3 linked regions of the Drosophila melanogaster genome follow. The protein of the gene in region 3 interacts with the protein of the main gene of each other region in a pairwise test. Each region holds a gene or a part of one and is shown on either strand. Other genes may lie near its edges. The genes, in order: GATAd, nau and CG12236.

What was found.
Region 1: the proteins of CG12236 (region 3) and GATAd interact in a two-hybrid assay, tested with the Drosophila melanogaster proteins (one large-scale study listed by BioGRID).
Region 2: the proteins of CG12236 (region 3) and nau interact in a two-hybrid assay, tested with the Drosophila melanogaster proteins (one large-scale study listed by BioGRID).

What each region holds. Positions count from the first base shown.
Region 1 is NT_033779.5:10,332,263-10,339,695, reverse strand, and holds GATAd (GATAd), read right to left. Parts: upstream 5,783-7,433; 5' UTR 5,622-5,782; coding exon 4,884-5,621; intron 3,916-4,883; coding exon 3,772-3,915; intron 3,675-3,771; coding exon 2,813-3,674; intron 2,752-2,812; coding exon 2,624-2,751; intron 2,556-2,623; coding exon 2,403-2,555; intron 2,329-2,402; coding exon 2,100-2,328; intron 1,678-2,099; coding exon 1,580-1,677; intron 1,465-1,579; coding exon 1,288-1,464; 3' UTR 511-1,287; downstream 1-510. Other genes in the region: SamDC (S-adenosylmethionine decarboxylase), read right to left, coding at 78-181; Cox10 (cytochrome c oxidase assembly factor 10), read right to left, coding at 6,725-6,957, 7,022-7,433.
Region 2 is NT_033777.3:23,712,252-23,720,124, reverse strand, and holds nau (nautilus), read left to right. Parts: upstream 1-1,767; 5' UTR 1,768-2,168; coding exon 2,169-2,696; intron 2,697-3,501; coding exon 3,502-3,624; intron 3,625-3,687; coding exon 3,688-3,762; intron 3,763-6,811; exon of another isoform or gene 6,812-6,850; coding exon 6,851-6,929; exon of another isoform or gene 6,930-6,985; coding exon 6,986-7,179; 3' UTR 7,180-7,311; downstream 7,312-7,873. Other genes in the region: CG10232 (uncharacterized protein), read left to right, coding at 1-185, 250-649; CG10300 (uncharacterized protein), read right to left, coding at 7,329-7,589, 7,659-7,873. UniProt on the Drosophila melanogaster protein: May play an important role in the early development of muscle.
Region 3 is NC_004354.4:5,906,317-5,913,637, forward strand, and holds CG12236 (uncharacterized protein), read left to right. Parts: upstream 1-1,818; 5' UTR 1,819-2,175; coding exon 2,176-2,445; intron 2,446-2,554; coding exon 2,555-3,221; intron 3,222-3,296; coding exon 3,297-3,533; intron 3,534-3,595; coding exon 3,596-3,745; intron 3,746-4,116; coding exon of another isoform or gene 4,117-4,325; exon of another isoform or gene 4,326-5,473; intron 5,474-6,109; coding exon 6,110-6,447; 3' UTR 6,448-6,763; downstream 6,764-7,321. Other genes in the region: CG4020 (uncharacterized protein), read left to right, coding at 1-47, 116-352, 407-893, 949-1,019, 1,077-1,202, 1,273-1,495; Shmt (serine hydroxymethyl transferase), read right to left, coding at 6,881-7,321.

The sequences.
Region 1 (7,433 bases), on a different chromosome or scaffold from region 3:
TTGCCCGCAACTGTGCATGCACTTGTGCACAAAGGACATGTCGGCTGTTTGGGTTCCGCACTTGTTGAGGGACTCACCTGCTGATGTTACGCAGATCATCGTCACCGTTGGAGCTCTCCTCAAACCAAATCTCAAGGAGTTTCTCAACGCCCTCGAAGAAGTGCGAACCGTTCTCCAACATGCTGCTGGCTGGCAATAACAAATGGATCTGATCTGATACCAAAACAACGCCTGGTGATGTAAAGTAAACGATGGGACTATCGATGCGAGTGCTTGTTGTACTACATCGATAATTCGGGAGTCTAACAGCATGTTTCCACTTACAGCATTTCTCATTGAACAGTCGGCGGTAAAAATGTAAGTCCCTTTCTATTCGAATTAAGATACTTAAATATCTTTAATATATATTTTTTCAAATTCTCATCATTAGTTTAACAGATTTTTCGGTTGCTTATCCCATACCCCAGGCAAATAGTTAAAAAAAAACAGTAGAATTTGGATTTTCATTTTACATTAACCAGTTTTATTGTGATTGTTAAAAATTGTATAGAGTATTTTATTTGAAAAAATAAATGAGTAATATTTTTTGTATCTTAGCCTATTATGAAGTCCTTATTTTATTTAGACAATTTATGTAGATTCGAAAACAGCATTAAGTTTTTTAGTTTCTTATAATTGTATATAATTTAAATATTTCCTTGAAAAGTTTGCATTGCGTGATTATTGCTTTTTGCATAGTTTTACTATTAAAATGTTTTGTGGAGATTATTATATTATCACATGATTTTCGTATAGGCAAGAGATTTAAAACATTATTATTTTTTAGCTTTAGAAGTTGTTCAATTGCAAAGACAGCTGAAAAATCATTGTTAAAACTGAACTTTTCATTTTAATAGAAGCGATTTGTGTTATTAAAAAATTAAAAATACTGTAAAATGGTTTTAATAAATATAAATATAATAAATTTTATTTTTAATTTAATTGCATTAAGTATTGATGTCCTCTCTTAAGGTCTATATTTAGTGTGATATTATTTAAAAGTTTTGACATACTGGTTCAATTTTCATACCTCTTTTACACTAATAAGTATTTTGGTATTAGTTTTTAAAGATACAAATGAATAAAATTTAGTTTTAAAGAATGAAAATTTTATTAATAATCTATACGTATTTTTAATCCTATACCATTTGTTTTTCTCTCTTACGCGACCTCATAAATAAACAAAATGTGGGTTAAAGGTTCTTCTTTTTTTTTCGAAAAGTGAGTAGGGGGAATATATTTGGCGTTTTATGTTAACTTTGCATTATTTTCACTGGAAACAAGGTTAAGCGGTGCGGATAGATCCGCACTTTCACAGGTATCATTAAACGCCGGCAAAGAATTTGACTTCTTACGCCTTGATAAAATATCTTTAAGTGCTGCTGCGGCTGGGGTCTCGGTATCATCAATTTCCTTTTTGAATTTCTAAAATAAAAACATATTAGAAAATTGAAGTTTAAGTGTATTTAAATCTTATGCAAATAGATCTAGTTGATCAATCTACTTATCAAGACTTTAAAGTAATAGTGCAGATACATACATTTAAAACAAGGCCCGAAATGGCTAGAGATTCCCTAGCCGTCAAGAAATCTTGCTTCGTTGTTTCTATTGAAGAACATGATGACATTTGTTTGTGTTCTGCAAAAGAAAGTGTATATTTATAATTTTCGCAAATAAATCATACAATTAATAATGAAAGGCTCGTAGATATTTATTCAAACTTGAGCAGTTTAACGACTTAACAGGCACGTCCAATGCCATCTACAACAATGACATCATAAAATATGATTGGACAAGCAAGAAAATATTTTGGGTGGGTACGCGGTTAATATTCCGATTGCTAAATCAATAGCTTAATGAACATATTAACAGAAAAATAAATTGTTTTGGCAAGTTACATTTAATTACCAACAATAAAATGGTCAGGGAACATAAAAAAAAAACATTAAGTAAACAAATTGTTTTCATTGTTAGATACTCAAAAAATAAATAAATCTATGGGTCACAGAGGGCTAGCTTTCGAATCGAAAAATGTAGATAAATTTCGAACTCTCACTCACTCTTTTTAGATCGCTCCAATTCTTTAGGACGCCTGCGTCTGGTGTGTATGGTATCGCGTCTCATTGAATGCGGCCTGTTGACCCCATGCAGCTTGAAGTACAATCCGCAGGCGTTGCACACCATCTCTCCTCGAACACTTCGCCGCCAAATTGTTGTGGTGAGGGTGCCACAATTCGAACATGACATATCTTTTTGAGCACCAGGTATGGCATTAAAAAGGTTTATGTTCTACGAAATCGGAATTGAACCAAGAAATAATATAATTAGTATGTGATTCAATGAGGATGACTGTGATAACGTACCCTTTTATCTTTCTTATCATCCGGAGTTGCTTCTGAAGTGGTATAAGTATCAGTCACATTCTCATTAACTACATCGATGCAATCAGTTTTGGTAGGAAAACTTTGTTTTCTTCTACATGGTTTTGATTTGCTGGATTGAGCCTCTGATAGATCCTAAGAACACAAAGAGTATTAGACTTTCCTATAGCTACTTGCTACTTGAAATAGAAGAAATAGTTTACCTTTAATAGTGCTATGGGTTCTTCAGGTACTTTTGTAAATGATACTGTCGACGGAACCGGAAACGCGAAAGGCTGGCTCATCATATTTCGAAATATTTGTGATGCCGGATTGTCCTCCTTGCTTTTAGCTATCAAATTGAAATGTTTTTCATAATAATATGCGGTCAGTGGTCGGATAATAATACGTACCGGCTGATCTGGCCAGTGCCTGCCAGAGTTGAGTAGTTGCCGCATCTGTGGCGTGATCCGAGCTTAAGCTATCCGGAGTCTTTCTATCATTTATGGAGGACGTGATGTCCATCTCTAGTTTGTGAGAGTCGGAACTATCGCCAGAGTCTAGCAAGGAGCCGGTACTCGCCTTGGGTGCTTTTGATTTGAAGTCGGACCCACCAACTTGGTTAATGGTAATACTGTAGTTTTGAAAATCCTCTTCACTTCTTAAGTGTGACTGAATATCAAGCATTGGAGTTTGGCAAAAATGGTGTATTGGGGCCGCGTTCCGTTGATTAGAGTAATCGTTCTTTTGTTTTTTGACGGATAGGTCAATTTCAACACCGTCCTGAATTTCATTTTGGTTTGATGGACGTTTTGATTTTATCACAGAACTTTTAATACTTGTATCTACAGCTGCAGAAAAACACGGAGATTGCGGATTCGAACATGGAGGGGAAATTACTATTTTTTTGCTTATATCCATTAAAACGGCAGCCGTTTCAAGCTGCTGCTGCAGATTTTCATATTTCTCGATATCCGAGTCCTTTTGCAGTTTTGAATCAAACTGGCTGTGTGAGGATCCAGACATTGCTTTGCTCTTTTGATCGCTTTTCATAGTAATTGATTTGAATAAACTTGGATATAAGCTATGTGCTGGCATTTCTTGATTGCTAATCTCGATTTTCCGATCCAAGCCGGGTTGGATGCTGGAATCCAATTTACTGTGGTCGTACTTAACTTTAGAGAACGTGCTTAACTCCGTCAGAGCCTTTGCCGCTATAGCCTCCGATGAAGCCTTTAAAATTGCATCGAGCTTGGTTTCCAAATCATTTGGGTCCTGCAAAAAACATAGTTCGTGAGTAGTAATTCAAATGGTCATTTAATTTAATGGCGTATGACTAACTAAGTTCCTTCCAATCAATACTTATACTTACTGGTCTCAGATTTTTGGATATATTTAAAAATTCTTTCAAAGCTATTTGTGAATTGTGCGCCATGGTTCGAAATTTTTCGAAGGAATCCAATTTTTGTCTGCAGTCGCCACAAACCACGTTGGGTAATCCATCGTTGGGCAGTGCCTGAAAGAAATATGAATGTATCTTATACTGCAGTATCCACTTTTAATATTCAGTTGGCTAGCAATGAGAATGATGCAATGACTAAGGAGCAAGGCGGTAACAAAATCGATCGATGGGATTGATGACTGGTTATACTTGGAACTAAAAGAAGAACATTGGATGCTTTGATATTGTATAAATCAAGCTAAAACTATTTGTATTTTAATCAATTTTATCATTATACATGTATTAAAACTTTAGTATACAATTTATATCTCTGTAAATCTCATGAAACAAATTATTTTAATTGAAAAAAATTAAAAACAACCCTATAAAATGATAAAAAAAAAAAAAAATAACATATGTTCATCTACGGAAATAAACACTAAAGCTCATGAAATGCATTAAGAGCACAAATTATCAAATCAATAAATAAATAAATACATAATAACAAATGAAAGTACTCGAAGTATGTAAAAAAAACACATTGGGGCCATATAAGGTGTATGTACGTCGGTATATCCGCACTTAAACAATCGAAACGAATGTTATCTCTTTGGTGGATTAATGTATGTAGGTCTCTAACATACATCCATGCGTGCATATACACACACGTATGTACATAGCAATATTTACATTCGTGCGCTGGACACTGATGTACGAGTGTGGCGTGGTGTGCGTGGGCCTGGGCCAATGCCTTGCAATGGTTCATCGAAAAAATACCAAACAATTGATACCGATTGTTAATAGGCCATGGGATAAAAGCGGCCCAATCATTTCCTATTATTTTGACGTGTGGTGTCGTAATCACATAGATAACACACACCAGCGCACGGCAAGCACTCGCAAAAGTGCGCGTGTGTGCGGGCATTATCGTGTACATATACGCGATATATCCAACTCACACACAGGTAAGAGCATGCTTGTGTATGTGCGTAATTAATGTAAATTCGTTTCTTTGCAAATGTGTTGGATGGAAATCTGCTTACCTTAATAGAGAGACAGTTGAATATCTGAAATGTAAGATGTGGTGATGATGAATCATCCCGACCGTGCTCTTTGCCGTAGTTATCGGTTCCGCTTATATTTGTTGTATTCACACTTGTCTCTTCGCGTCCGCTCTGCTGATTATGATTATGCTGATGTTCCTCCTCCTCGCGCATTGGCTCCGATTTTGTTTGGGATTGGGATAGCGATGCGGAGGGGGATGGCGTCTCCCCGCTATATTCTATATGTTCGTGATCCGACGATGACTGACTTTTGAATACTGTTGATCTCTCGGCGATGTCCGACTCCAATTGGCATTGGCGTTCGCGCTCACTCGACTTTGCGTCCGCAGCAGAAGGCACACTTGGCGTGTAATGGATTTTAGTTTGGTTTTGGTGATGGTGAAGGGTTTGCGATTGGATCTGCTGGCTTGGAACGGGCACAGGCACGGAAACGGGTATGGGTATGGGCACGGGTACGGGTGTTCCCTGGTTGCGCCGTTCATTTTTGTTGGCTGATAGCGGGTTATCAACGATGCAACTGCACGGATTGGGGCTTAAAGCGCTGCAAAAGCAGTTGGCACGATTCGCGACGCCACGAAAATCGGCCGATATTCTGTCTGGGGCACTATTATTATGCGACGAATTATCGTAAATCTGTAGTACTGCAACATCGCACTCGTTAACCAATGTGAGGCACAATCGACAAACTTGACGAAACTTATGTGGTACATTATTCATAATTAGAAATTTATATTCGTTTTGCACTGTGTAAAGAAACTTTCATACGCCTCTCCTTTATCGCGATAAAAAAGATAACTGGTAAAATAAATTATAAAATGAATGTAAACACTATTCCTCAATTTTTCATTGTCACAATCCACGTTCAGCTCACTAAAAATAATTCACTCCAGTGGTTCGCCACAGATTTTTCGCTCATTTGATCTAGTTTCCCGTTCAAATTACCAAACGAGGGCTCCAGCGATAGTCGCGTTAGCTGCATGATTCATCTCGGCATCGCGATAAATCAGTGATTATGCTAATGTGCTTCTGTGATAAAACATCAAGGCTATTGCAACACAATACAAAATATTGTTCTTTTCATTTGTAAGACCAACGCATACAGCAGAGGAACCAGTGAAATATACTGAAATAGGGGCAACTTTTTGGTATTTCTGTTATCGATAACGTACAGCTATACTCATTTTTAGCTAGAAATTTTTGACTATTTATCTGACGGATTTTACTATTATTATTAAAATTATTTCAATTGCGGAATATAGTTCCTAAAATAGCTAGAATACTTATCCCTAGGAAATGCGCATGTCGTTTTTTAATCTTGGAAAAAAAACCCTCCAAAGGAATAAACTCTGGAATCTGAAGAAGAGATGCCTTACAATGCCTTAAATAATACGTTCGATTCGATTGCTACAATTTATCAAAATAAAATAGATTTAAATTCCTTATTTTCAACAACCGATGAAACAACGGGAAACGGGATTACTTCCACTAACAATTTTTACCGTTTCCGTGCTTTTTTTGAAACAAGTGCTCAAAGAACAATATAATAAGGTCATACTTAGAATCTTGCAATTTAAATTACTGTACGGCTTAAGATTCCATGCCAAATTGTATATTTTAAATTTATTTGTATTCAGCGCCGGATTGGTTACACCGCATATTTTTCAAGGATGTCGTGTCATTTATTAGGCGCAACATATATTTGCCGCACAGGGGTACGTGTTTCCTTAATATTAAATGACTGTTTTTACAAGTTGCAGAACACTAAGTATATTTAAATTTCACACGATACTTAACATTTTATCAAATTAATGTTAATATTTCTATCTGGGTCCTTCGGCTACGGCGACGGGCAGGACATTACCAAGACTGCTAGCAGAATGCTTTATCGCACTGTACGTGGACTCCTTTTTGTTCTCCTCACCGGCGGGTTTGCTGAAATACCATTCCTTCTTATTGGTCAGAAATAGCAGCATCAGGGCGGGCAGGTGTATCAGTGAAAATCGGAACAGCTTCCGCGAGCTCCCACTATCTGACTTTTCATGAAACTTGTACGCTGCAAGCAAACAGAACGTATTAGACATAACATATAGGATTCCATGGTTAATGAGTATATTTACCAAGGTAGGCGAAGTACGCGTTCAGAGGTAGTGTTTCCAAGGCAAACCAGTAGTTCGTGACGTCCAGTACGGGTGCCATGGCTGAAAGTCCGACAATAGCCACCGAATATCGCAGCGCAGTGCGGCGACAAAGACCCGGATTGGTAACGGCCATCATTCGGTAGCCGGCACGTGAATAATCCGGCCGGAGGTTCCACGACAGAGCGTTGAAGTGCGGGAACTGCCACGCGTACAGCACTCCGGCTAGGATCATGGCGCCGGCGTCCAGGGTGGCTGCACAACCAGCCCATCCCATCAGCGGAGGAATGGCGCCCACTATCGATCCCACCCAGGTATTGACTATGCTGATACGCTTCATCGGTGTGTATATCGTGGTGTAGAGGAACAGGTTACCCGCTCCCAGCGCCGCCGT
Region 2 (7,873 bases), on a different chromosome or scaffold from region 3:
GTGCTCAGGAGAGTGCGGCTGGGCGAGCATGATATTACCACCAATCCGGATTGCGACTTTACAGGAAACTGCGCTGCCCCCTTTGTAGAGATCGGCATCGAGTATTTCAATGTCCACGAACAATATTTCAACACCTCAAGGTTTGAAAGCGATATCGCCTTGGTGCGTCTTCAAACGCCAGTTCGGTGAGTATTGCAATATAAGGCATCATTTTCTGACTATTATGAACCAAAGTTTTTATTTCCTTAGATATACCCACGAAATTCTACCGATTTGTGTGCCGAAAGATCCCATCCCCTTGCATAATCACCCATTGCAAATCGCCGGTTGGGGCTACACGAAAAACAGAGAATATAGTCAGGTGTTGTTGCATAACACCGTTTATGAAAACAGATATTATTGCCAAGACAAGATATCGTTCTTCCGCAACGAATCACAAATCTGTGCTTCTGGCATTCGAGGAGAAGACTCCTGTGAGGGTGATTCCGGAGGTCCCTTGATGTTAACCCTTAATAATGATTACCAGGATATCGTATATCTGGCCGGTATCGTTTCATATGGAAGTGAGAATTGCGGAGATAGAAAACCAGGTGTTTACACAAAGACTGGAGCATTTTTCTCATGGATAAAGGCAAATTTGAAGCCATAACTTTCTTGCTAAGGAATCTCGACTAGTGTATGGTGTTTGTTAATATGTGAATGCATTTTGTTTGTATGAGTGAATGTGTTTTTTTTGTGGATTATGGAATTATGGAAAATTCAATCAAGTAGCCAGTAAAATCAAATATGCACATAAGAATGAGTTTTAATATGTATTTTATTTATTTGATTAAATTAATAACACAATAAATCGAATTTACTTAATGATTTTGATTTTTTAAACGTTCTTTTCTGAGTTACATTTGTGCGTTGACAGTACACTGCCCGAAAACAAAGGCCGATAATGATTAAATTTACAATTGGGATTATCGTGTGGCACAACAAATAGTCTTTGCCACCAAAATACCATCAGACCGAATCAAAACAAAGCATCCATCAAAGTACGGCAAGATGGAAAATGTGAGGAGAAAATACGAAATGGAAAAAGACGAGAAGGGAAAAGTGGAAAAATGAAGATGGAAAGTGCTCGAGCAAACCACGGTCCTAAGACAAAAGATTTACAATATCGCTGGGGAAGATTTAAAGGTGATTTCCAAAGATATATATTGTGCCTGAGCAGCGATAAATAAACACAATTCTTTGACTATTTTTATTTCGGCCTCTCCTATTTTATTTATTTTTTTGCTCAATTTCTCGCTTTTTTCTCGGCCGTTGCAACTATAACTCAATAGAAAAGTGGCTGCCATTGATGGGATCTGTGGACGGGGGGCCGGATTTTCCACTAAATGTGTCACATTAACGAATTGTTGAGCTCCCCGAAAGCTAATTTATGCCACCACCTCCCCCACCAACCCACACTAATCGCTGGCCAGGTAAAATTCAATTTATTTGATTTGAACTAAGCCTTTCACAAACACGCTTCACATTGAGCGGAAAATCGCGTTGAAAACTCACGAAAATTAAAAAAAAAAGGGGAGGGGCGTGGCCTGCGGCAGCGTCCTTCTGCCTTAGAGAACCGCCAATGTCGTCTAATGGCGGGGCGCCTCTAAAAATAGGAACCACTCGAGAGCCACTCAGCCACTCAAAACGCAGCAGCATCCGCACTCCGAGAGGATCGCGAGCACATCTGGGGGCCCACGATATCTTGGATTCTTGGATATTGTCACCAAATGTGTTGCGATTGCGACGGAAGGCGGTACACACACTCGCGTACGGTCCGCAAATCGAAGTCGAAAAATATTTTTGAAAATGTCGGAGGTTTTTACAAAGCATCATTAAAGTGTAACCAACTAATTAAGGTTCTATTTTAAAAATCCCGAAAGTGAAACTATAACAAATTAAATTAAATAGAAACCACAGCCTAAAACTTGTGTGTAACCATAACTCATAAATTTGTGTTAATGACCTAGCATACCTAGAAAAAGAGCTTAAACCACGTTAAAAATGGTAATAATCAACTGACTAAATTAACTGTGCCATCGTAATTAGTATCAGCAATTAAATTCAGCAACTTGTTGAACTACCAAAATTGTTTTGTAAAATATAACAAAATCGTAGTGAAGTGAAAAATGACCAAGTATAATAGTGGCAGCAGTGAAATGCCTGCGGCTCAAACCATCAAGCAGGAGTACCACAATGGCTATGGTCAGCCGACACATCCTGGATACGGATTTAGCGCCTATAGCCAACAGAATCCGATAGCCCATCCCGGCCAGAATCCACACCAGACACTGCAGAATTTCTTTAGCCGCTTCAATGCCGTCGGTGATGCGAGTGCGGGAAATGGTGGAGCGGCTTCCATCTCAGCCAACGGATCGGGTTCGTCTTGCAACTACAGTCATGCGAATCATAATCCGGTTGAGCTGGACAAGCCATTGGGCATGAATATGACACCGTCGCCCATCTACACCACCGACTACGATGACGAGAACAGCAGTCTCAGCTCCGAGGAGCACGTCCTGGCGCCCCTCGTCTGCTCCTCCGCCCAATCCTCCAGACCATGCCTCACCTGGGCCTGCAAGGCGTGCAAAAAGAAGAGCGTCACCGTGGACCGTCGGAAAGCGGCCACTATGAGGGAACGCCGGAGACTGCGAAAGGTAGGCATCCCATGCTCACATTACACACATTTTCAGATTTATCAAATATTAAAAACATATTGTGCAATAACTACTGATACAAATACAGCACTTTCATCTTTCAATCATTCATTAAAAGAATGGTTCACTTTAAAAGTAGATTTTTGATTCATTCAATTCATTATTATAATAATAACTTAAAACTGCTTATGGGGACTTGAATATAGGCATACCACTCAGAACTCTGTTCAAGAGTCCTTTTCCATCAGCAGGCTTATTAATCCTCGGTCGATCTTAAAAATAGATTACGCCACAGTTCGCAAGTCCCCTGCGTTTAAGGACTGCAACTTTGTAGTAATTTCATTAGCTCGGCTAGCACCCCACAAATTAACACATCGCCACCAGGGAGGATCGGATCCATTGACATAACGCGCAGAAAGGGAAACCACCCAACATGCGTAAAACATAAACATTTGCCAAGACCAAGAGTTAAACAGCGGCATTTATGAGTTCGACGGTCGTAAAAGTTTTGGATGAACCACACGTATTTATAGCTCCACATAGAGACATTAGTGAAAGGCGGAAAATCGTGGGAGCTCCGGTTAGAAGGGGTATGGTGATGGGGGGCTGTCATAAAGAGACAGACGACGGGCGAACGGCTTAATTGTTGAAAATTTTATGCTCTATTTAATTTAAAATATGTTTTATTAAAGAGCCACTTAAAAGGGGAACACGCCGCGTGTTCTGTGTTTTTATGGCACGCCTAATGGATTTCCATGATTTCAACGATGGCCATTAATTGATTATTATTCCGTTCACATTCTAGGTTAACGAGGCCTTCGAGATCCTCAAGCGACGCACTTCATCCAATCCCAACCAGCGCCTGCCGAAGGTTGAGATATTGCGCAATGCCATCGAGTATATCGAGAGCCTGGAGGATCTGCTACAGGTAAATGAGTGAACTCATCTCACCGCGAATAGAGAATACCATTGGTTAAATTGATTATCTTAGGAATCCAGTACCACACGCGATGGCGACAACCTGGCGCCCAGTTTGAGCGGCAAAAGCTGCCAGTCCGATTATCTGGTAAGTTTTGTCCACTAACCGCCAATTAATATTAAGCCCACAATATCGGCGCGTATATCGTTCCGCAATTATTTTCTCGTAAAATTCTCATGCATGAGCAGCGCTTTCGTACATTTTTCTTTGGCGACGCGCACATTCATCAAAATCTCAGGGTCTGGTCCGTCGCAATGGCGAACATGAAAATAGAATATGTATACGGACGGATCCCCGAAAGAGTCAGTCCCCAAACTGTATCTGATATCTGTTGTATCTGCTGACCGGAATTTATGCGCTCGCTGACGTGCTACTTAATAAGCTACGCCGGCAGCCCATCATCCACATTTCTGAATCACATTCACTCGAAAACCGGGAATATTATGAGTTATGATCGAGAAAGTTTGCCCAGATGTGAGGGGAGCAAACTTTTATCAAAGGAACGGGGGAAAAAAAATTTAGAGGAAAAATAGCTGGAGAATTTAGGAGAATTTACAGGGGAAAGGGTCGTTGTCTGCATTTAGTGAAAGGCAATAAATAAATTTTCTTTTTATAAGCCCGAATGGAAATCGTGTTGTAAATTAATTACAACAAATTCGTTGGAGCAGGAATCGGCACCAGAATCTTCATCCCCATGTTTGGTGGATTGCGACGATCGCTTTTCTGTTTCATAATAGCTTCCCTGCGACGTGGAACCAAAACCGTTGTGGCAGTTGACAAATTGCACAGGAAAAACATGACAAGATCTCGGGGTGTTCTTCTTCGAAAGGTGTTGCAAGATATGGCCAAGTCGTTGGTCATTGAAGGGAAATGAAAATGAATGAAAAATGGGGGGGGGGGGACGGGAGCGGGTTGTACATGCATATCTACTCCCGAATGACAGGGCAACAAATTGTCAACAATTATGCAAACATTTTTGCCATCATCTTCAACGCCCTCTTTTCTTTTCATTTTCATTTGACTTTCGGGTTGGCCTGCGCTGAGTAATTTCCATGCAGTTTGTTTAAGTTTCTCACAATTTTAATGTACAAATTTGTTAATTTACCATAAAACTTAGCGTATTTGTATGTTGACTGCGCCCCCCATTGGCAGATATTAATGTGCGGCCATAGTTTGATTAAAAACTGGCATAGCGCCAAACGTGCAGACATTCAAATGCATCTCAGACCCTGGCAATCCATCCATCTCATCCATATCCATTCATTTGGAGCCCGTGTATTTATAAACCTCGGCGACTTAAGTAAAAGATTTCCTTTTGAACTGTTTCCAACACGAAATGCGAACGCTAAGTTGGCCCATAAATTTCCTTATCGCCGCCAATAAAGTGTAGTACTTGCGATATACAAAAGTGCCACCTTGTCTATATCAGTCAAATTTCTACGTAATGAAATACATAGCCGCAATCATTGAAGTCTTAAGATAGAGCTTTTCGGTGCAAATGACTCACGGAAAGATGTGGGTAACGTGGGTGCAAACCATCCATTTGGACAGTGAGTCAGGATTGATCGGATTCCCTACCATTCAGTTTTTAAACTATTATCAGGTACAGATATGCTACCGAAAACTTTTGTTATCTTTGAATAGCTTTACAGCTACACTATTAGATATTTTCTACGAATGGAAAGCAGTTTATAAATGATATTGCAAATTATTGAGAAGAGATAATTGGTGTGATTTTTATGGTCTAACCACCACTGATAATCTTTATCACACGTCCCCGTTTCAAAAAGTAACTTTTTCAGTTTCCGAGAAAGATTGATTAAATAATTCCGAAAATAAACATCAACATTATTTGCATCTTATTAAAAATGTAAATACATATCTGGCAAGTAGTTCTTGCATTTTTTCGGTGATATTTCCGAAATGGATTATGAGATCTTACGACTGACCGCACAACTCGCAGAGAAGTGGCAATATTTTTAAAGTGGGTTTAGTATATTAAAAGCATATTTCATGGTAAAAACTCATGCAACTTATGGCTAACAAATCGCATAATGCCGCATATCCGTTACACGCTCACAGATCGGAGGAGAACATCTAAGGGGAACGCGCCAAAAAGCGGCTTAAAATCTTTACGCAACCGAAGAATCGGAATGCCCAAGTGATAAGTGGCATTTCATTCAGATACAACGCATGATATATGCTCAAAAAAAAAAAAATAAAATAAAATACACCGAAATACCATAAAGACCTGCAAACAAGTACACAGAAAGAAGTCGGGCATGTCTAAAAATATATTTCGAACATGCTTGTTAAATTGAGAATTTATTTCCAAAGAAATTTTTCAATATTCGGTATTATATTGTCATATAAATAGACTTTATTGCTTTTAACCCAGTTGTGCTATTTTTGTGTAATTTTTCCCAGTGTATCCGCTTGCTGACTGCGGCATATCGAGCGCAGGCTGTCACTAAACGCTTGAAAAAAATGATAAATCGCTTTATAAAAGTGCAGTGTGAGTTCATCTGCTCTCGTTCAGTTTAGTTCACTTCACTCGGCTTTGAATGCTATTCTGTTGTTTTATCACTCCGTACTTTGTTGTCCGCTAAATATAAACAGACGTACATACATATAAGCCATACGGGATGCCCTGTATTTGTCGATCCTTGCAGACGAAGTGACGGCACTTTGGATGCACCAGATGCGGATTTGGGGGGGGGGGGGGGGCAGCAAGGAAACCCACCCAGAAGTGGCAATTATAATTTGCTTAGCATCGGCGTTATAGCGAATTTTTCTAATGAAATCCCGACCGAATCTCCGGATGCCTTGTCTGTCGTCTGCGTATGCGCAAAATTAATTTAATTGCCTCTAAAGTGCACTGCACACAATGCCCCACAATGTTGGGGCAGACAATGGGTGTGGTGCGGTGGTTCAATGCGTTTTAATTGGCCTGTGGAATCTCTTTACTGGCATAAATTTTGGCTTAATCTCATCATTAGACTGCATTCTGTATGGCACTCGTTGGCCAAGTTGACAGGACCGGAGCAAATTTGACGTTGTCATTTCGACGGCGACACTTTTCTGTAATTTATTGTTTCCCCAATTTCGCTTGAGGCCAACTAAAAAAAAAATATATGATTTTTCCATTTGTATTTATTTATGTTTTTCCTTGCAGAGCTCCTATGCTGGCGCTTATCTAGAAGATAAACTTAGTTTTTACAACAAACATATGGAGAAATATGGTCAGTTTACAGGTAAAAGTAAAAAAAAAAAAGTATTTGATGTATTTATCTAAAATATTTTTGTATAGACTTTGATGGCAATGCCAATGGCTCCAGTTTGGACTGTCTAAATCTGATTGTTCAGAGCATCAATAAGAGCACCACGAGTCCCATTCAAAATAAGGCCACGCCCTCCGCTTCAGATACCCAATCGCCGCCCTCATCCGGAGCAACTGCACCCACTTCTCTGCACGTGAACTTCAAACGGAAGTGCAGCACTTAGCACTTAAGTATCAGCACCTTAGGCAATTGTAAAGCTATTTTTAAGAGGATACACGAGATACCCAGTGACCCGAATAGGCCTTAAATTATTTGTATAGCATTAGAACTTAATTAAATGGTAATTCAAAACAGCAACTAGAGTCGTCTTACTTAATCTAGCTCCAATTTGCGGAAGGAACCGCTCATCCCGTCCAGTTCTCCATTGGCCCAGGCACTGGCCAATCCGACGCGCAGTTTCTCATTAGTACCATACTGGGCATCCTTGGCCAGATAATCCTTGCTGTCCAGCAGCTTCTGGCGCCAATGATCCACTGCCTCTGCCTGATAGCCATTGGTGCCACCATACTCGATGGTCATCACATCTCTGGGCAGGTGCTGGTACAGATCCTCCGACTTTTTGTGGACCACGAACTGTGTAGAATATTGTAGAGATTAATTACCAATCCTAACGCAATTCAAGCTTTTTGATGATAGATTCACCTTGAAAGGCAGTTTGGAGGGCAAAAACTTCGTTACAAAATTGAATATGGTTTGTCCCTCCTTGCGCATATTGATCATATGAATCTCAACAAATCGCAGTGGTATGCATTGGTCCACCAGAGCAAATGCCTTCTTCAGCAGGAAGGGATCGTACTGCATCATCTGCTCCATGGTAACATCTCTGGCATCCACAACCCAGATCAAGCCGGAAATCG
Region 3 (7,321 bases):
CGGCTGCGCAATGTCAACATTGTCTATCATTCGGCGGCCAGTGTGCGGTGAGTACATATGTACATATATACGATCCAGGTTAGGATATACAAATCAATAATACATCATCTTTTAGCTTCGATGATGCCCTGAGCACGGCCATACTACTGAACACCCGTGGCACCCACGAGCTGGTCAAGTTGGCCCTGGAGTGGCCCAAGCTGAAGGCATTCGTCCACGTGTCCACCACCTACTCGAATCCGGGAGTTCTTGAGGTGGAGGAGCGCGTCTATCCACCGTTGGCCGACTGGCGTACAACTATCAAATTGGCGGAGACCTACGACGCCGAGATTCTGGACATCTTCAATCTCAAGTGAGTAGTGGAGTTGAGTGGAAAATAAGATGCTATATAATATGCACCTTGCAGGTATGGTAACTTTCAGCCGAACACGTACACCTTCACCAAAAGTTTGGCCGAGCAGGTGGTCAATGAGTACAGGGACAGGCTGCCCATCTTCATCTTTCGGCCATCGATTGTGGTCTCCACCATTGAGGAACCCGTGCCCGGCTGGGCGGACAACTTCAATGGACCCACGGGACTGCTGGTGGCCTGCGGCGTGGGCATACTGCGCTCCCAGAACTGTGATCCCAATATTGTGGCCGATTTCGTGCCCGCCGATATTGTGGCCCGTACACTGATCACCTCGGTGTACAAGTTCATGGGTGAATCGAAATCGCGGGCCAAGGACAGCGATCTGTATGTGGTCAACTGTGCCACGGCGAATATATCGCCGATCACCATGGGCGAGGTGATCGATATCGGTAAGACGTTCATCCGCAAGAATCCATTCGAGAAGACACTCTGGCTGCCCGGCGGCGGGATGACCACTTGTCCGGTTCTTCATTTTGTGCGGGTGAGTTTTGGTTTTGTTTATCCCAAATGTATATTAACCATGTTGATACTTTCAGTTCTGCACCATGCACCTGCTCATGGCCATCGTGGTGGACACTTTGCTGCGTCTCTATAATGAAAAGCCCTTGTAAGTTGCGGCGGATTTGATGAGGAAGTTAAATGTATATGAGAATGCCTTTTCCAGCCTGATGAAGCTACAACGCCGCATATTCGCCGCCTTCAGTGCGCTGCAAGTGTTTGCGATGACCGAGTGGCATTTTCAGAACGACAATTTCCGGGCTCTGCACGATGTAGTTCCGGCCAACGAAGTGTGAGTGCCCTTTTAACATTACATTTCTTATAGATGTATCTCTTTTCATTGATCTATCATTTAATTTCAGCTCCAACTTTGGCTTCATGCAGCACGCCAACATCAACTACACGGAGTTCTTCCAGCACGGAATTCGCGGCGCCAAGGAGTTCCTCCTGAAGGAGAGTCCCGAGAGCAGCAGTGCCGCCCGTTTTCGCGTCAAGATCTTCTACGTGCTGGACTTTCTTTGCCGGGGCATCGTCTATAGCTTCCTGCTGCGCCTGATATTCCGATTTCTGGTGCGATTGTGGTAGCGAGCCATTGAAGCCAACTATAGAAATGTAGTGCTTAGTAACATACACATATATATATATATTCTCCGGCATTGGTTAATTCTGTTTATTGCATTTAATTGTCACGTATTCCCTTGCATTTGTAGTTAAATTAAAATCAGAATTTTATAAAGCTGTGTGGGCACATTGTATGCGTTATGTTGGCAAAAGTAGAAATGCTAATTTTAAATATCCCGCCAAACTGTCGCTCTGTCTATGTGGCAGCTCTGGCTACACGCCACCTGGCGGCTGAAATGGCAGCCACCTGGTAGGTGGCAGCACACGCAGGGTTGCACCGAAATTGGCAAGAAAACAAAATGGAGGCGTATAATATTTTTGTTTGGCATAGAATATAAGAAATTCGTATTCGTGTGTGCGAACAGCGCCGTAAACAAACCCCGTAAAAGCGGGCAAAACAAAAAGTGCGAGCGGTCTTAGACCAAATAAAGAAATCCGCCGGAGTGGATCCACACGTTGCCGCATCGTTGAAAGGGTCGCAGAAACCGGAGGTGTTCCATATTCGCCACTTTTTTGCCAAGGCGGGCAGCTTCCCCCTTCCCGGGAATTGGCGCTAATTGGATTGGACTGGAAAGAGGAAGAGGCGGAAAGAGGAGAGCAGGAGAGGGCTAGGGCTAGGAGGCGGACGCAGAGAGGACGCCGCAATGGCCACCACCCAGCAGTACTCGCTGCGGTGGAACAACTACCTGCGCCACCTCACCTACTCCCTGGACAACCACCGGCTGAACGATGACTTCGTGGACGTCAGCCTGTGCGTGGATGGACGCAGGATCAAGGCCCACAAGGTGGTACTCTCCTCCTGCTCGTCCTACTTTAAGGAGATATTCAAGGAGAACCCACATCCGCATCCAGTCATTATATTTAAGTTTATCAAGTTCGAGGATCTCAATTCGATTATCGAGTTCATGTACCAGGTGGGTTTATATGGTATATATATAAATTGTCAGTATCTTGATGTTCATATAGTTCATTCCACAAGAGATCTTACCTGAAACGTATCAACTAATTCCACTTCTGTTTTAGGGCGAAGTCAATGTGCAGCAGGAGGCGCTGCAATCGTTCCTGCAAACTGCCGAGCTGCTGGCCGTCCAAGGACTCACCGCCGAGGAGAAGGAGAAGCCGCAGATCCCGGTGGCGCCGCTGATCAGCGAGCACAAGCTGATCAAGACCATACCGAGCACCATACGCGCGGTCAACGAGCAGCAGCAGCAGGTGTCCAATGTGGCCCAGGCGCAGACAGCTACGCAAACCATCGAAATACCCGCGGCCACTTTGCTGCAAGCCACCAACGCCAGCCAGGTGCCATCGCAGGTGGTCGCAGCAGCCGCAGCAGCCGCAGCGGCACAACAGCTGCAGGTCCAGCATCAACAGCAGCAGCATCACCATGTACAAACCACCCAGATTCAGCACATCCAAGTGCAATCGGCACCGCCCCCGCAACAGCAGCAACAGCAACAGCAGCAGCAGCAGCAGCAGCAGCAGCAGCAACAACAGCAGCAGCAGCAGCAATCACAGCAGCAACAAACGACGCCCGTGCAGACGCAACACCTGACCATCACCAATGCGGTGGCCCTGCCGGCGGCCAGTTCGGTTAAGAAGCGAAAGATCACGTTCTCGGACGACGACGACAACATGTACACCACCGAAACCGTTGACTACGCCGTCAAGGATGAGCAGACCATAGTGAAAAGTGAGTCTGGAGTGGATGCCACCATGTTTAGACATCATTTTAATAATATATTTCGATGTTTTTTTTTTTTTTTAGCTGCCGAGATGACTTTCCTGCGCGGCGCCGTCAAGATGGACATACCCGATTACATTGTTGGCGAAGTGGATGACCGCCTGTCGGATGGAGCAACGCCGCAAACGTCGCAGGATGCCACCACCGCAGCGGCGCAGAATGTGGCGCAGTACTCATCCGAGTATGAAATACTCACCGAGTCCGAAATGGAGGAGAAGTACCAGGCGGATGCGGACAACGCCGAAATTGCCATTGAGATGAGTGAGTTATATTTGGGCTATTCATATATAACCATGATTATTCAATCGATTTATCCATTGTAGCCCGATTGCTGGGCACCGCCAGCGGGACGCCGGGTGCGGGTTCCGGCCAAGTGATGGAGGATTCGGGTGGCGGCAGCGCGACGACTGGTCCCTCGACTACGGTGTCTGTGACGCAGGTCAAATCGGACAGCAAGGCCAGCGGGACGAATGGTGAGTAGTATCCGAACAACTGACTTGGGTTTAAGGTGTTTTTTTTTCCCCCCCATTTAAAGATATATTTTTATTACATGAATTGAAGTGATGCAGCAATGCATGTACATCGAACATAAGTGCATTTTCTTTACTTATTTCATAAGTTTGTACTTTATTTAGTTTGTACTTTCATGTCTTCAATGTTGACCATATTTTATGGTCCATTCGTTTTTTTTTTATCTGTTAAATGTTATGTTAATTTAACTATTAGTTGTTGTGGTTTGTCGAATATGTCTCCAAATGAATGGTGTGTTCTGCCCAGAGATTTAGGACGTAAGCAGCAATCGAGACTGTTATACTGATTGTACGTATTTTCTGTATATTTTTAGATTCGCCCAATAATAAGTGGACAGAATGTCAGTTTTGCAAAATGGTTATAACCACGGTTAATCTTTGGAGACATATTCGCACCCAACATACCCCACAACCGCCGCGCAAATGCGACATGTGTAATAAGAATTTTAAGAACAAGTACAGTCTGCGGGAGCACATACGCATCTCGCACGAACAGAAAGTGGCCATCAAGACGGAGAACTGATGCGTCTTCATAAGTCTCGGTCGCCTGCGAGCCGCATCTGGATCTGCAACTGCATCTGGATTGAGATCGATAGGATATACGGATAGGGGAGAGAGATATAGTTAATTACGTCCAGCTTAGCGAGCAGCCAGCAAAACCAATCAACCCAACCAGCCCATTCCCTCGTGTTTCGATCAAAGGCCCCAAAACGAAAACTAGCCAAATTTGTCAACTTAAATGCAAAGCAGATAGGAGTACGAAACGTTTATCCCTATATAGTTCTATATATAACACCTTGATAGCCACTAAGTCGAGTCAGTCAGTCAGTTAGTCAGTCGGTGGAGAGTGGAGCTGGTGATCCCGTCGTTGACCAAGCCATGTCATGTGTCCACGTAATGCGTACATGTACCACTTGTATTTTATAGTCTACCATTTGCTTTAGGTACTTCTTCATTATACAGACGGCAAGTTACAAGCCCTCGAAATCCATTGACACACCACAGAATGTATATAAACACACACACACACACACACAAACACACCCAAGATGACAAGAATTTTGGAAGATTTGAGAGCACTTTGGATGCTTAATAGCTTAGATCGAGTGATACTATGTGCAAGAGAACAGAACACAAGGATTTAATTTGATTGTAGAAAACTAATGTTATACTTAGCCCATATCGATCACTTTATTTTAGCTCTTAAACAACCTCATATGTATTTTTTGAAACTCTGATATTATTCAGTTTTTGTATATAGAGCTAGGCAACTTAACCTAAATTAAGGTAAACCCAAAAACAAAGTCCCCCCTCCATGAGATTCTCTGCCCAATTTGATTCCGCAGGAAGGAAGCTGTGTACTTTGCTCACAAGCAGAGATCAGGAGAATATGAGAAAATATATATATTACCCCTTGTGTACAAATTTAAATACGATTTAATCCAATTACCCGGCGCGCTTTTGACCATCTGTGTTCAGCATTAGAGCGTTGGCAGTTGACTGTAAATTAGCTAAATTAGTTTTAGTTTAGTTTAAGACACCACAAATTCGATTGGACATAGTTTAGTTATTCGGTGTAACTTAATTGAGTATACCAGCCCACACGAGCCAAGTGAAAACGGAAGTCATAGCGCGATAAGTTGAAAGTATTTTCAAAAAAAGAAAGCGAAGAAGAAAAGAGAAAAAAAAACCCGTAGAAATCCTCTCCAAGACAAACTCAAAGCCCATACATACTAAAGATAATCTAGTTAAATGAAACAACTCATACGTATTACTTATCGATCTATGTATACACATATATAGTTAACGTTATATCTCTCCATACTCCATACCATGCCCAAATTGACTTCACTCCCGGCCGCCGGCCGTAATCCTCCAGAAGAACCACCCACCAACCCACTAGATTCATTCAACTTCGTCAACGCTCTCAAAGAATTGAGAATATATCAACGAAGCAATGGGATTACGGCCGGAATGGGTTAACGGGTCAGTTGGGGCAACTGGATGGATGGATGGATAACTAGCTGAGATTCCAATTCCACCCCAAACACACAACTCTAAGTCTAAGCCATTCTGTACGTAGATTGATTTACACGCGTCAACGAAACGGTACTAAATTAATCAATTTAATTCGAGAAAGAGAACGAGATAGCTGCAGTGTTGGCGAAAAAGAGCGGGAGAGAAAATAAAATCATGTAAACCATTTAAACGCAAATGAACTTTATTCTCAATGGGCGCGGCAAAAAAACCTTCTTGTGTCCAACGATCTCATTAAAAACCAACTCTCTCTCTCTCTCTCTCTTGCAGCCGCTTTGAAGCCAGGATCCGTGACGGTTGCCAGGTCGTCCAAGAGTGGAGCAACTGCATCCGCGCCACCGGCTGGCAGCGATGAGGAGAGCGTCCAGTATACCGGCCTCGCACCGCTGAACTGCAGCTTCTGCGGCAGGCCGCTCAAGTCGGTGAACGCGCTGCGGCGACACATCGCCTCCAGGCATTCGGAGATTCAGGGCAAGGAGCACGAGTGCTTCATCTGCATGAAGAGCTTCAAGACAAAGTGGTCCCTCTCCACACACAACTCGCGTTTTCATCGCGAAATGGGCTGTTCGACCAAGGGATTCACCAAGATCGAGTACAGCGATCACTGAGACAGCGGTATGCCATTAATGTATCATTTAGTACGCCCAACTATCTGCACATGACCACTGCTGCCTTCATGGCTGGCTATCATTTAGAGGAGTTGAATTGCAGGCAAGCAGGGCATTTGGAAACTAACACCATAGTTACCAAGGATACTTATGCCCATTGATTAGCAATTGTTGCAAAGATACTTAAATACATTTATTGAATTCCCTTGCATCATCTGAAACAAACCACTCATCTCGAATAACAAAGCATTGTTTCGTGTAAATACTAGATACTCCATTCCAAAAATAAAACTCCATAGCTATGGTATGTAAACTGAAATGCGTTTAATGGCTTAACTACTAATTCCCACTTATGATATTAACAAGCGGACTTTTCGAGGATGTAAATCGTAAGGCGAACAAAAGAAAAAGGGACAAACAAAGCAGGCAGCACCTACAGGGTCTCCAGGCCGGGCAGCGGGAATTTCCTGCTGAACTGGGCCACATTCTTGCGGATCTCGTCCACCTGGGCCTTGAGCTCCACATTCTCGGCCAGCGTCTTGTGGTAATCGGTTATCTTGGGACTGCCGGCCAGCTTGGCTGCCTGGACGCCAACCTTTAGGGCAGCATCGATGAAGGCCACCACCTGCTCGATGTCCTGCTCGGCAAGGCCGCGAGTGGTCAGGGCCGGTGTGCCCAGCCGGATGCCGGAGGGATTCATGGCGGACTTGTCGCCGGGCACAGTGTTCTTGTTGCACGCGATGCCCACCTCCTCGAGGATGTACTCGGCCTTGGCGCCGGTCAGGCCAGCCTTACGCACATCGACCAGCACCAAATGGACGTCGGTGCCGCCGGTGGCCACCTGATAGCCTCGCGAAATGAGGCCATCGCACAG